Coturnix japonica: one gene and its partner. The protein of the gene in region 2 purifies or fractionates together with the protein of the main gene of each other region. This does not show direct contact. Links are inferred from orthologs where the notes say so. Each region holds a gene or a part of one and is shown on either strand. Other genes may lie near its edges.

Region 1 (4,862 bases), on a different chromosome or scaffold from region 2:
AAGAAGTTTTCCTGATATCCATCCTAAACTTACCCTGGCACAACTTGAGGCCATTTTGCCTTGTCCTGTCACCTGTCACCAGTGAGGAGAGACCAACCCTGCTCTTGCTGTAAGCACCTTTCAGATACTGGAAAGGAGCAGCCTCCTCTTCCCAGACTAAACAGCCCAGCTCCTTCAGCCTCTCCTCATAGGCATATTCTCCAAGCCCTTCTCTGGACCTGCTCCAGCACTTCCATGTCCTTTCTGTACTGAGGTGCCCAAAACTGAACACAGTAGTCGAGGTGAGGCCTCACCATGCCGAGTAAGGGGCAGGATGACTTCCTAGTGCTGCTCACCACACCATTCCTGACACACACCAGGATGCCATTGGCCTTCTTGGTCTCCTGGCACACTGCTGGCTCATATTCAGCCGACTGCCCATCAGTACACCAAGGTCACTTTCCATCAGGCAGATTTCCAGACACTTTTCCTCAAGCCTGTAGGGTTTCATGGGTTTTTCATGACCAAAATGCAGGACCTGACACTTGGCCCTATTGAAATTCATACAGTTTACCTTAGCCCATCAATGCAGTCCATCCAGGTCCCTCATACTTCATGCATTTATTGGACAGGGATTACTGCAGCTTCCGTAGCTAATCTGGCTTTTTATCCACCTGTGTTTTTCCTTTTTCTTATTTCCTAAATCCTTATACCACAAAACTACTGAGAAAACAGCAGCAATACAAAACCACTCTTCCCAGTCCTTGTACCTTTTAACCACTCTGTGCTTCAAATGCCAAATATTACCAACAAAACTTTGCAAGTGTTCTTACTCACTTCTCAGTAACTCCTAGTAATAAGTCATAAATTAAATTTAGAAGCATAAAAATGTAATTTACAAGCATACCTGGTGGAGAGCTGTAGTTTCTTACACTGCTGTTTTGCTGCTTCATACTTAGGACTGTGACTTTTGGCTTCCTGAAACACACATGCTGCCAATGGAAGGAAAAAGAGAAAACACACGTAATTGTCATCATAATGAATTCATAACATGATAATTGATTTGTAGGCATAATTTTTCCAGTTGTAGAATTATAAACAAGATCTGAATCAACTGATGCTTATTAGGTATTTACATAAAGTGAAACTGTCACCTGTGTGGAAGCAGAAGCGCTTAAGGCCAGAGCTTAAATAAGAGCCCAGCCTCAACAACATTCAGGAAGCCCAATAAACATGGTTTCCTTGTTGTAACGTGGGTGATCTCCTCAAATTCACGCTGAAAGCATTAACATCTGTGAAGGCATTTACCTGGCTGCACAAACGTGACCACTTCAGTGACAATTTCGGTGCATTCCCTGAGAACTTCCTCATGATTCTCCACATTCTGAGGCTGCACCACAGTCCCGCTGCCTTCTAAAAGCCGTGTCTCCTGTTTCCACACGACTACATCAACACCTTGGCAACTCAGGTTGCTGTTTCTCTGGCCTGGCTGCAGCAGCAGGGCCTCACAACCCACTCACACACGGTTTCTGACCCGGGAAACACCCCCTTGTACTCTGGAAGGCGGTGAAAATTGAGCTTTTTAATTAACAAAATGCTACATCGTTAAAGTGACCGCAGCGCAGCGCTCATGAGCAGGCCGCGATCCGCCCCGGAAAGTGCGCGCCTCATTGTGCTCCCCCACAGCCAACCCATCTTCCTCGGTCCCACCGCTAACCAACACACACAGGCTTTAACTAACAGCCACGACGGCTTTTTCCGCACATTTCGCCCCTTTTCTGCCACGCCGAGCCGGGCCGCAGCCCTAGGGACCAGCAGGGTGCCGTCCGTCCCCAAGGCGGAACCAAAGAGCCGTGGGGATCGTTTCCACCTGGGGGCGGCCGGAGGAAGTAACAGGCCTTTTGGTTGAGCACGGGAGAGCGGCGAGGAGGGAGGACGACGTGTGGCCGCCATGGTGAGAGCGGGGCTGGGAACGCGGAGGGACGGATGGGGACCGGGACCGGGACCGGGACCGGGACCGGGACCGGGGCCGGGGCTGGGGCTGGGGCTGGGGCTGGGGCTGGGACCAGAGGTGGCCCCGCTGCCCCGCGCTGTTGTGGTGCTCCCCGGCCTCGTCCCGTTGTCGTGAGGCTCTAAACACTTTACCCTGTGCCCATAGCCGCAGAACGAGTACATCGAGTTACACCGCAAGCGGTACGGATATCGGCTGGATTACCATGAAAAGAAGAGGAAGAAAGAAGGGCGAGAGCCTCACGAGCGCTCCAGGAAGGCCAAGAAGATGATAGGGCTGAAGGCTAAGCTGTACCACAAACAGCGGCACGCCGAGAAGATCCAGATGAAGAAGACGTGAGTCACGTTGTCCTAGCGTCGTGTTGGTGCCCTGTGTCTGCAGGATCGAGACAGCCTTGTACTTCTTATATGTTGCTTAATTGTGGGAGAGAGTGCTTAAGACACTTCTGATAGCCTCTTTTCTCTGTGCCTCTTTCTTCTTTTTTTTTCCCCTTACCATTGCAATGAATGACTCTGTTCCTAAAAGCATTCCTTAGCATATGCGTTAATTAGCAGTAGTGATTGCAATTATGTAATCGTAGCAGAATACAAAAGTGGTATATTGGCTTTCAGTCTGATGACAGCATGACTACAGGACATGCTTGCCCATGTCTGTTAGGCACTTTGCTTTAAGACAGTTCCTTGGTAAGAGTCTTATACCGTGGTCTGAACAAACTGAGCAGGCTCTAGTCTGTCAGCTGTTGTGTTAAGAGAAATTACTGCCTTCCTATGAAAAGTATGTAGGCACTGTTCCTCAAATGTAAATGCTGTGTTAACCTTAGGGAATATTTTGAATAGGCACAACCTAAGCTATTGCATCTCAAAATTTGCTTCTTTTCTGATTTTAATACTGTTTGTTTCTCCTTGCAGAATTAAAATGCACGAAAAGAGAAATACAAAGGAAAAGAATGAGGATAAGACTCCTAAAGGAGCTGTACCAGCGTACCTGCTGGACAGAGAGGGCCAGTCCCGGGCTAAGGTTCTCTCTAACATGATCAAACAGAAGCGAAAAGAAAAAGCTGTAAGTAGCTGGATTAATTTCAGATACTTAGTATTTCTCGTGGTAATCACTACCACTCCATACTACCATAATCACTGTGTTACTGATGCTTAAGTGTCTTGCAGCTTGCAGGTGAGGTCTAAGCATTGATGTGCAAAAGCTAAAACTTTGAATAGGTTAGTCGCGTTGAGCAAAGTAAGCATGTGCAAAGAGTTGATTTCCATAAACCTGATTGCTAATTAAAGTAAGTAGCTATTAGTTGCGTAAAATACGTGGTTTACAGCAACTCTGATTAGTTAAATTGTATTTTATACTCTGATTGTCCGGTCTCATAGAGAAATGGCACATACCTAATGACAGTTGTGTTTCCTGTAGGGCAAATGGGAGGTTCCTGTGCCAAAGGTCCGTGCACAGGGAGAGACTGAAGTTTTAAAAGTGATTCGTACTGGAAAGAGAAAGAAGAAGGCCTGGAAGAGAATGGTTACAAAAGTTTGTTTTGTTGGAGATGGCTTTACCAGGAAACCTCCGAAGTATGAGCGATTCATTCGACCAATGGTAATGTTATTGAAACTTTCAAATATTTAGGTACTAATTATTTTAACTTAAATGTTTTGAGTTTGGCAAGGACTCACAGAATGGCTCTGGATGGAAGGGACCCATCTAGACCATCCTAGTAAGCTAGGTAAAGTAGAATGAAGTTTTATGTAGGAACTTCCTTCTGTGCTAATGCACTTGATTACTACTGAGTAAGAATGTTTGTATTACTTTCCTTTATGAAACCTGAACTTAGACTAGCTGGAGGTAGCCCTGCAGTCTGCATTGGAATATTTACATCCTGACTCACATAACTGAGATGACATCAATAAGTTAAAGCCATGAGCTCTCAAATTAGCATGGAAGATCTTCAGCAGAAGCACTTCAGAAGCTTCTGTCTTTTTCAAGCTGCTATGATTGTGTCAGCTGCAGGGGCAGCTCTGTTGTCAGGCTCATGTACTCCCTCCTGTCTGTTAAAAAAGCTGCATTCTGAAGCTACCCATTTAAAAAAAGAAAAAAAAAAAAAGCACCTAACCTTGTCATTAATCAGGTTCTTAACAAACATTCTATAGTAAGCAAGCAATTTTCTATGTTCTGGCTTGTTTCATTTTTCCCAGTCTCGTAAAATGTATAAATCTGAGGACGTAATGCTAGAAATGTTAAATTAGCTCTGAGGACTTGAAGTATATATATTAATGTTTTCTAACACCTTGTGCTACAGGGCTTACGTTTCAAGAAGGCACATGTGACACATCCTGAACTTAAAGCTACTTTTTGCCTGCCTATCCTTGGTGTAAAAAAGAATCCTTCTTCTCCTTTGTATACAAGTCTGGGTGTAATTACCAAAGGTACCGTCATTGAAGTGAACGTGAGTGAACTTGGTCTTGTGACGCAAGGGGGCAAAGTTATTTGGGGTAAGTACTTAATCTAGTAGCACTGCAGAACAAGTTTTAAGTCTTTATTGCCTGAGTGTATTGTGAAGTCCGTGTCTTGTCATAATTAATCCCTGTTGAGTTTTGGTTGTAGCAGAAGCAACTGCAGGACAGCTTTAAGAAGTTTTAATCTTAGGCTTTCAGTTCACACTTTGAACATCAAATTAGGTGGAACCCAGAAAAAGGAATGTGAATTATGAATGATTATGCCATGTTTTCAATGAAATTCATGTGTACAAATACCTTCATTGAATCAGACTAACTTCTTTTACCAGTGAGGCTGACTTGGACTGTGACAGAACCTATGATGTTTATGAATTCCTTGAGGTTCTGGGTATGTTACAAAGACAGCCTGATCACGATATTTT
Region 2 (4,920 bases):
CGTTCATCTGTCAGAAAATGATTAATCACATACACACTAATTTGGGAAAGAAAACAACTTTATGAGTGGAACGTGCTTTAATTTCACATATATCCCTCCAGAAACTTCAGTCAGGCTCTACTCAACTGTATGAATTTGCTTCCCCACAGACCAGACAGTGCTATAACAACATCATATTTTATTCTACCTCAGCTAAATGGTACCTCAGTATCATTTAAAGAAAAATCACGCACCTTATTTATAAAGCTTGACTTCCCAACATTTGGATAGCCACACAACAGAAGAGTTCTTGTATTGGGATCAATGGTTGGCAAACGAGACAAATGCTGTCGCACTGAAACATTTAAAAGATGAGTGAAGTATTTGTCTTAATTCACTTTTGAACGGAAGAAAAATTGATGTATACATTTAAATACAGGACCACTGCTTGGAAAGCATTTAGCAATAACTGATAATTATCTTATTAGAGGGCTGGAGTACCTCTCCTATGAAGAAAGGTTGAGGGAACTGGGCTGGTTTAGTTTGTAGAAGACTCTAGTAAGACTTCATTGTGGCCTGTCAGTACTTGAAGGGAGCATTGAAACAGGAGGGGGAAACGGCTGTCTACATGGATTTATAGTGATAAAACAAGGGGGAATGGTCTTAAACTGAGACTGGGGAGGTTTAGGTTGAATATTAGGAGGAATTTTTTCACACAGAGGGTGGTGACGCACTGGAACAGGTTTTGCCCAAGGAGGCTGTGGATGCCCCATCCCTGGAGGCATTCAAGGCCAGGCTGGATGTGGCTCTGGGCAGCCTGGTCTGGTGGTTGGGGACCCTGCACACAGCAGCAGGGTCAAAACCAGATGATCATTGTGGTCCTTTTTAACTCAGGCCATTCTATGATTCTATGATGAATTTTTCAGATATACGTATGTGAAAATAATGATAAACACAAGCATGGCTACAACCTTTAAGCAGGTACAGACATTCTGTACCATTTTAATTTAAATTAAGAGAACTATTTGGTTGAAAATTGAATTCTAACTGGGCATTTGAGAACTATTTCATTTTTATTACCTACATTTCTGTACTTAATGCATTTTTCTGTTTTAAACTGTTATTCTTTGTATGAATAACAGCGCATGCTGTGTTCATATTCCTGTATTTTAGCACATTTATTACACGAACCTTGCTCCAAATATTCCAAGCTTTGTTTCTGCCTTTTGATAATGGTGCACATCCGTCCCAGAGCCGCACGTTTCAGCTGTTTGCAGCGGTAAAGAGAATCCCCGTACTTCATCAGGCGCACGTAGTCCTTCGCAACACTGCAGGGACAGCAAAACAGGGAGTGATGCAGCAACCAACCCCACAGGAACAGAACTGAAGGAAGAAACTTTCCTTACTTGTCAATCAGATTCTTGGCAATATTAATCTGTCCCAAAGCCAACTTGTAGTGATCTTTGTCATACAGAACGTTCATCAGATCGGCATAAAAAGGATGAATATCCTAAAACCAAAAAAAAAAAAAGGACATAGCATTAACCTTATTTTCTTGAAGATGACAAACCAAACTGTTTTCATTACTATCTTGCCTAAGAAAAATAATCCCCTTGGTCATTACATGCATCATTGTTAATGCTTTGACTTTTTTGCAGTGATGACTTGAACTGGCTTAGACCAAGTTTCCATTTTGTCTTTTGCACTGCAAAATACTTTCAGTTCTCAAGTCTGAACTTTCCTCTAGTGAATAATGAAACCACGAGAAGCCTGCAGAAGCAATTTCTAATAGTAAATTCATCCTATAGCAGAAATACGGCGTTAACTCCTTCCTTTGTTTGAGTGCTAAATCACAGGCAAGACTGGATAATAAGGGTTTCTTCAATGTCCAGATAAACCTCTTGGCTTTCTGAGAAAGCAACACCTTCAGTTCTTCTAGACTAAGTATTTTTAGCTATTTATGCACTTATGTGGAGAAATTTCATCATGAGATATTGAAGTGCAGGCAATATTTGCAGGAATTCAGTGTACAGAAAAAGAGTAGGAAAAGTCAAGTGAAGGATTTAAACAGGTTTATGAAGCTGCCCATACAGAAGTCCCAGTGGGCACCTGCACACAGCTGTACTTCACAGAATCACAGAATTATCAAGGTTGGAAAAGACCTAGAGGATCATCTAGTCCAACCATTACCAATACTTCCCAGCTAAATCATATTCATCAACACAACATCCAAACATTTCTTGAACACTCCCATGGTCAGTGACTCCACCACCTCCCTGGGCAGTGCATTCCAATGCCTGACCACCCTTTCTGAGAAGTAATATTTCCTAATGTTCAGCCTGAATCTCCCCTGGCACAGCTTAAAACCATTCCCTCTAGTTCTATCACCGATTACATCTATCATCGATTACCTGGGAAGTTATGACCACGCACACCATGTCAGAGTGCACTTGTAAAACCAGCTCTGATAGGGCTGAGAGCAATGTTCACTCTGCCAACTGAAGTGACACTGCTGAAGAACTGAAGGTGCCCAGGGAGGTTGTGGATGCCCCGTCCTTGGAGGTGTTCAAGACCAGGTTGGACGGGGCCCTGGGCAACCTGATCTAGTAAAGGTGTATGTTTGGTGGCCCTGCCAGGCAGGGGGGTTGGAACTACATGATCCTTGAGGTCCCTTCCAACCCGGGTCATTCTGTGATTCTGTGATTCTGTGTGAAGGTGGGAGGTTGCACTTACATCCAGCTTGGGGAAGTCCGACAGGATCTGTGTCAGCCGGTCATGGTAGTTCTGCTGGGTGTATTTCACCTTCCTCATGTAGAAGTGCCGGATGCGATGGATCTGGTAATGCTTGTGAATGACGGTCGGGGTCTTGCGCTGAGTCTTCGACAACGTCAAATCGATGAAGTCCTACAAAACAAAGCAGCGCTGTCAGCTCCCAGCCGTCTCCATTGAACACAGCGATAAACACCCCCTCCCTTCAGGCGGAGGCCGGGCATTGACCCACACCCCGCCGGCACGGAGCGAAGTTCCCCCGCCAACACAGCACGGAGCCCGCTGGGAACCTGAGGGAGGGAAGGGGAAGGACAGAGCTCTCCTGCCAGCCCAGCACCGCGTATAAACGTACCTTGGCGGACGGCACCACCGTGATCTTCTTGAAGTTGTAGAGCGCCATGCCGCCCTCAGCGCCACGCCACAGGAAACAGGAAGAGAGGCCGGGAGAGAGACGGAGCCTCGAGTCTCGTCTCGCGAGGGCTCGTCTGACTCCGCCTGCGTCAAGTTGTGTGATTTAAAAGCTCATTTCCTTTGGTGTTAAGGGTCAGAGCGCAGTGCTGTGGATGCCACATCCCTGGAGGCGCTCAAGGCCAGGCTGGGTGGGGTCCTGTGCAGCCGGAGCTGGTGTCTGATGGAGTAGTTGGCAGCCCTGCCCTCTGCAGAAGTTTAGAACAGGATCTTTGAGGTGCCTTGTAACCCAAGGCAATCTGTTACTGTACAAAAATGGAGGAATCAAGGTGGGCTGGGAGGAACTGGTGTGTGAAAATAAAGAGATGAAACAGGCCCATAGCGTGTCAGCAGCCTGGGCAGTGTGTGTATCTGACCACAGCTTCTCTTCATGAGCCAAAAGCTGTTTAGACCTGGAAAAGCCAGGCCCAGAAACTAGGTGGTCTGAGTGTCCAAAACCAGCTTGTACATCTTCTGCTGGCAGGCTTTCATGATGAAAAACTGAAAATTCTCTTCAAAAGTGTGGGCTTCCCCCCCCCTATAAAGTGTGACATTTTCCCCTTGAGAGAATTTAGACACGTATTATTCTGTCACTGCACATTTTTTCTACAGTATTATAAGTTCAAATGCATAAGTTCTGCATTTCCTTTATTGCACTGCTTTACTAATTTTTCTGACAGCACTTCAAACAGCCGTCCAGTGCAGTGGAAACTTTAAGGTGCATGAAAATGAAGATTCTCTCTAATCAGACAAGCCAGTAGTTAATCCTTTCCAGAAATTAATTTTAATAATGACTACATGAACACCATTCAATCATAAGCATGCAGTTAGAACCATCCCATTTGCTGTAGCCTGTCAACAACACTATATCTGCCTCATTATGATGAGCGTGCTGCTTCATAAATGTTTTTATACTAATATTTCCACCTGCTTTTTCGAAGCATTCTTGAAGAAGTGAGACGTGACTTCATCTTTTAATTATATTGTACTTTGCCTCCAAAAGTTTCATAGGGCAGAAGGAGCTCTTCTCTAGGCATGTCCACAGGTATCCCAAGTTTTTGGTACTTACAGAGCGGCTGATGACACCCAGCAAGACCCAGATTGTGTGCTGTGCTGATTGTCCAGAGAAGCACTTGGGAGAACAGGCCATGGGAGTGGACATCACAAGGGGTTCAAGGAAGCACTCTAGCAGAACATTGTCACTGTGCCTGGCTGTGACTCTAGCTTAATATTCATAGTTTCTCAAAAATGTTACCTCAGAATTCCAAAAGTAGCCTTAGATTTGGGGTATTTGGTCTGCATTTGATGCACACTAAGATGCACATGTGTGTGTTTGGTGGATATACTTAGCAAATTGGTGTGCTTCAATTAGATGGCCCCAATCATCATTGCTTTCTTGTCCCACAACATGAAAAGACCAGTTCACAGAGTAACAGAATCAAAAGGTAGCTGTGGTAGGAAGGGACCTCTGGGTCCATCTCACCCAACCCCTGTTCCAGCAGGGCTGCACAGCGCAGGGTGCCCAGCACCACATCCACACAGCTTCTGAAGATCTACAAGGATCAGTGCTCACAACCTCTCTGGGCAAGCTGGTCCAGTGCTCCATGACCTGCATGGCACAGAAATGCTGCCTGGTGTTCAGTGCAAACCTCCTGTGTTTGAGTTTGTGCCCATTGCCTCTTGCCCTGGCAACAGACTGTACTGAAAAGAGCCTGGATTGATCCT

The links.
Region 1: the proteins of GTPBP4 (region 2) and NSA2 purify together in Homo sapiens (affinity purification with mass spectrometry; 3 studies listed by BioGRID and IntAct, counting the BioPlex papers as one, with this or other methods). This does not show direct contact. The link is inferred for Coturnix japonica from reciprocal best matches to the Homo sapiens genes GTPBP4 and NSA2.

The regions. Positions count from the first base shown.
Region 1 is NC_029547.1:22,112,444-22,117,305, reverse strand, and holds the start of NSA2 (ribosome biogenesis protein NSA2 homolog), read left to right. Parts: upstream 1-1,805; 5' UTR 1,806-1,930; coding exon 1,931-1,933; intron 1,934-2,137; coding exon 2,138-2,325; intron 2,326-2,898; coding exon 2,899-3,049; intron 3,050-3,403; coding exon 3,404-3,583; intron 3,584-4,283; coding exon 4,284-4,476; intron 4,477-4,862. Other genes in the region: GFM2 (ribosome-releasing factor 2, mitochondrial), read right to left, coding at 887-971, 1,288-1,362. UniProt on the Homo sapiens protein: Involved in the biogenesis of the 60S ribosomal subunit. May play a part in the quality control of pre-60S particles.
Region 2 is NC_029517.1:9,317,255-9,322,174, reverse strand, and holds the start of GTPBP4 (nucleolar GTP-binding protein 1), read right to left. Parts: upstream 3,237-4,920; 5' UTR 3,149-3,236; coding exon 3,101-3,148; intron 2,884-3,100; coding exon 2,713-2,883; intron 1,490-2,712; coding exon 1,386-1,489; intron 1,308-1,385; coding exon 1,171-1,307; intron 335-1,170; coding exon 234-334; intron 1-233. UniProt on the Homo sapiens protein: Involved in the biogenesis of the 60S ribosomal subunit. Acts as a TP53 repressor, preventing TP53 stabilization and cell cycle arrest.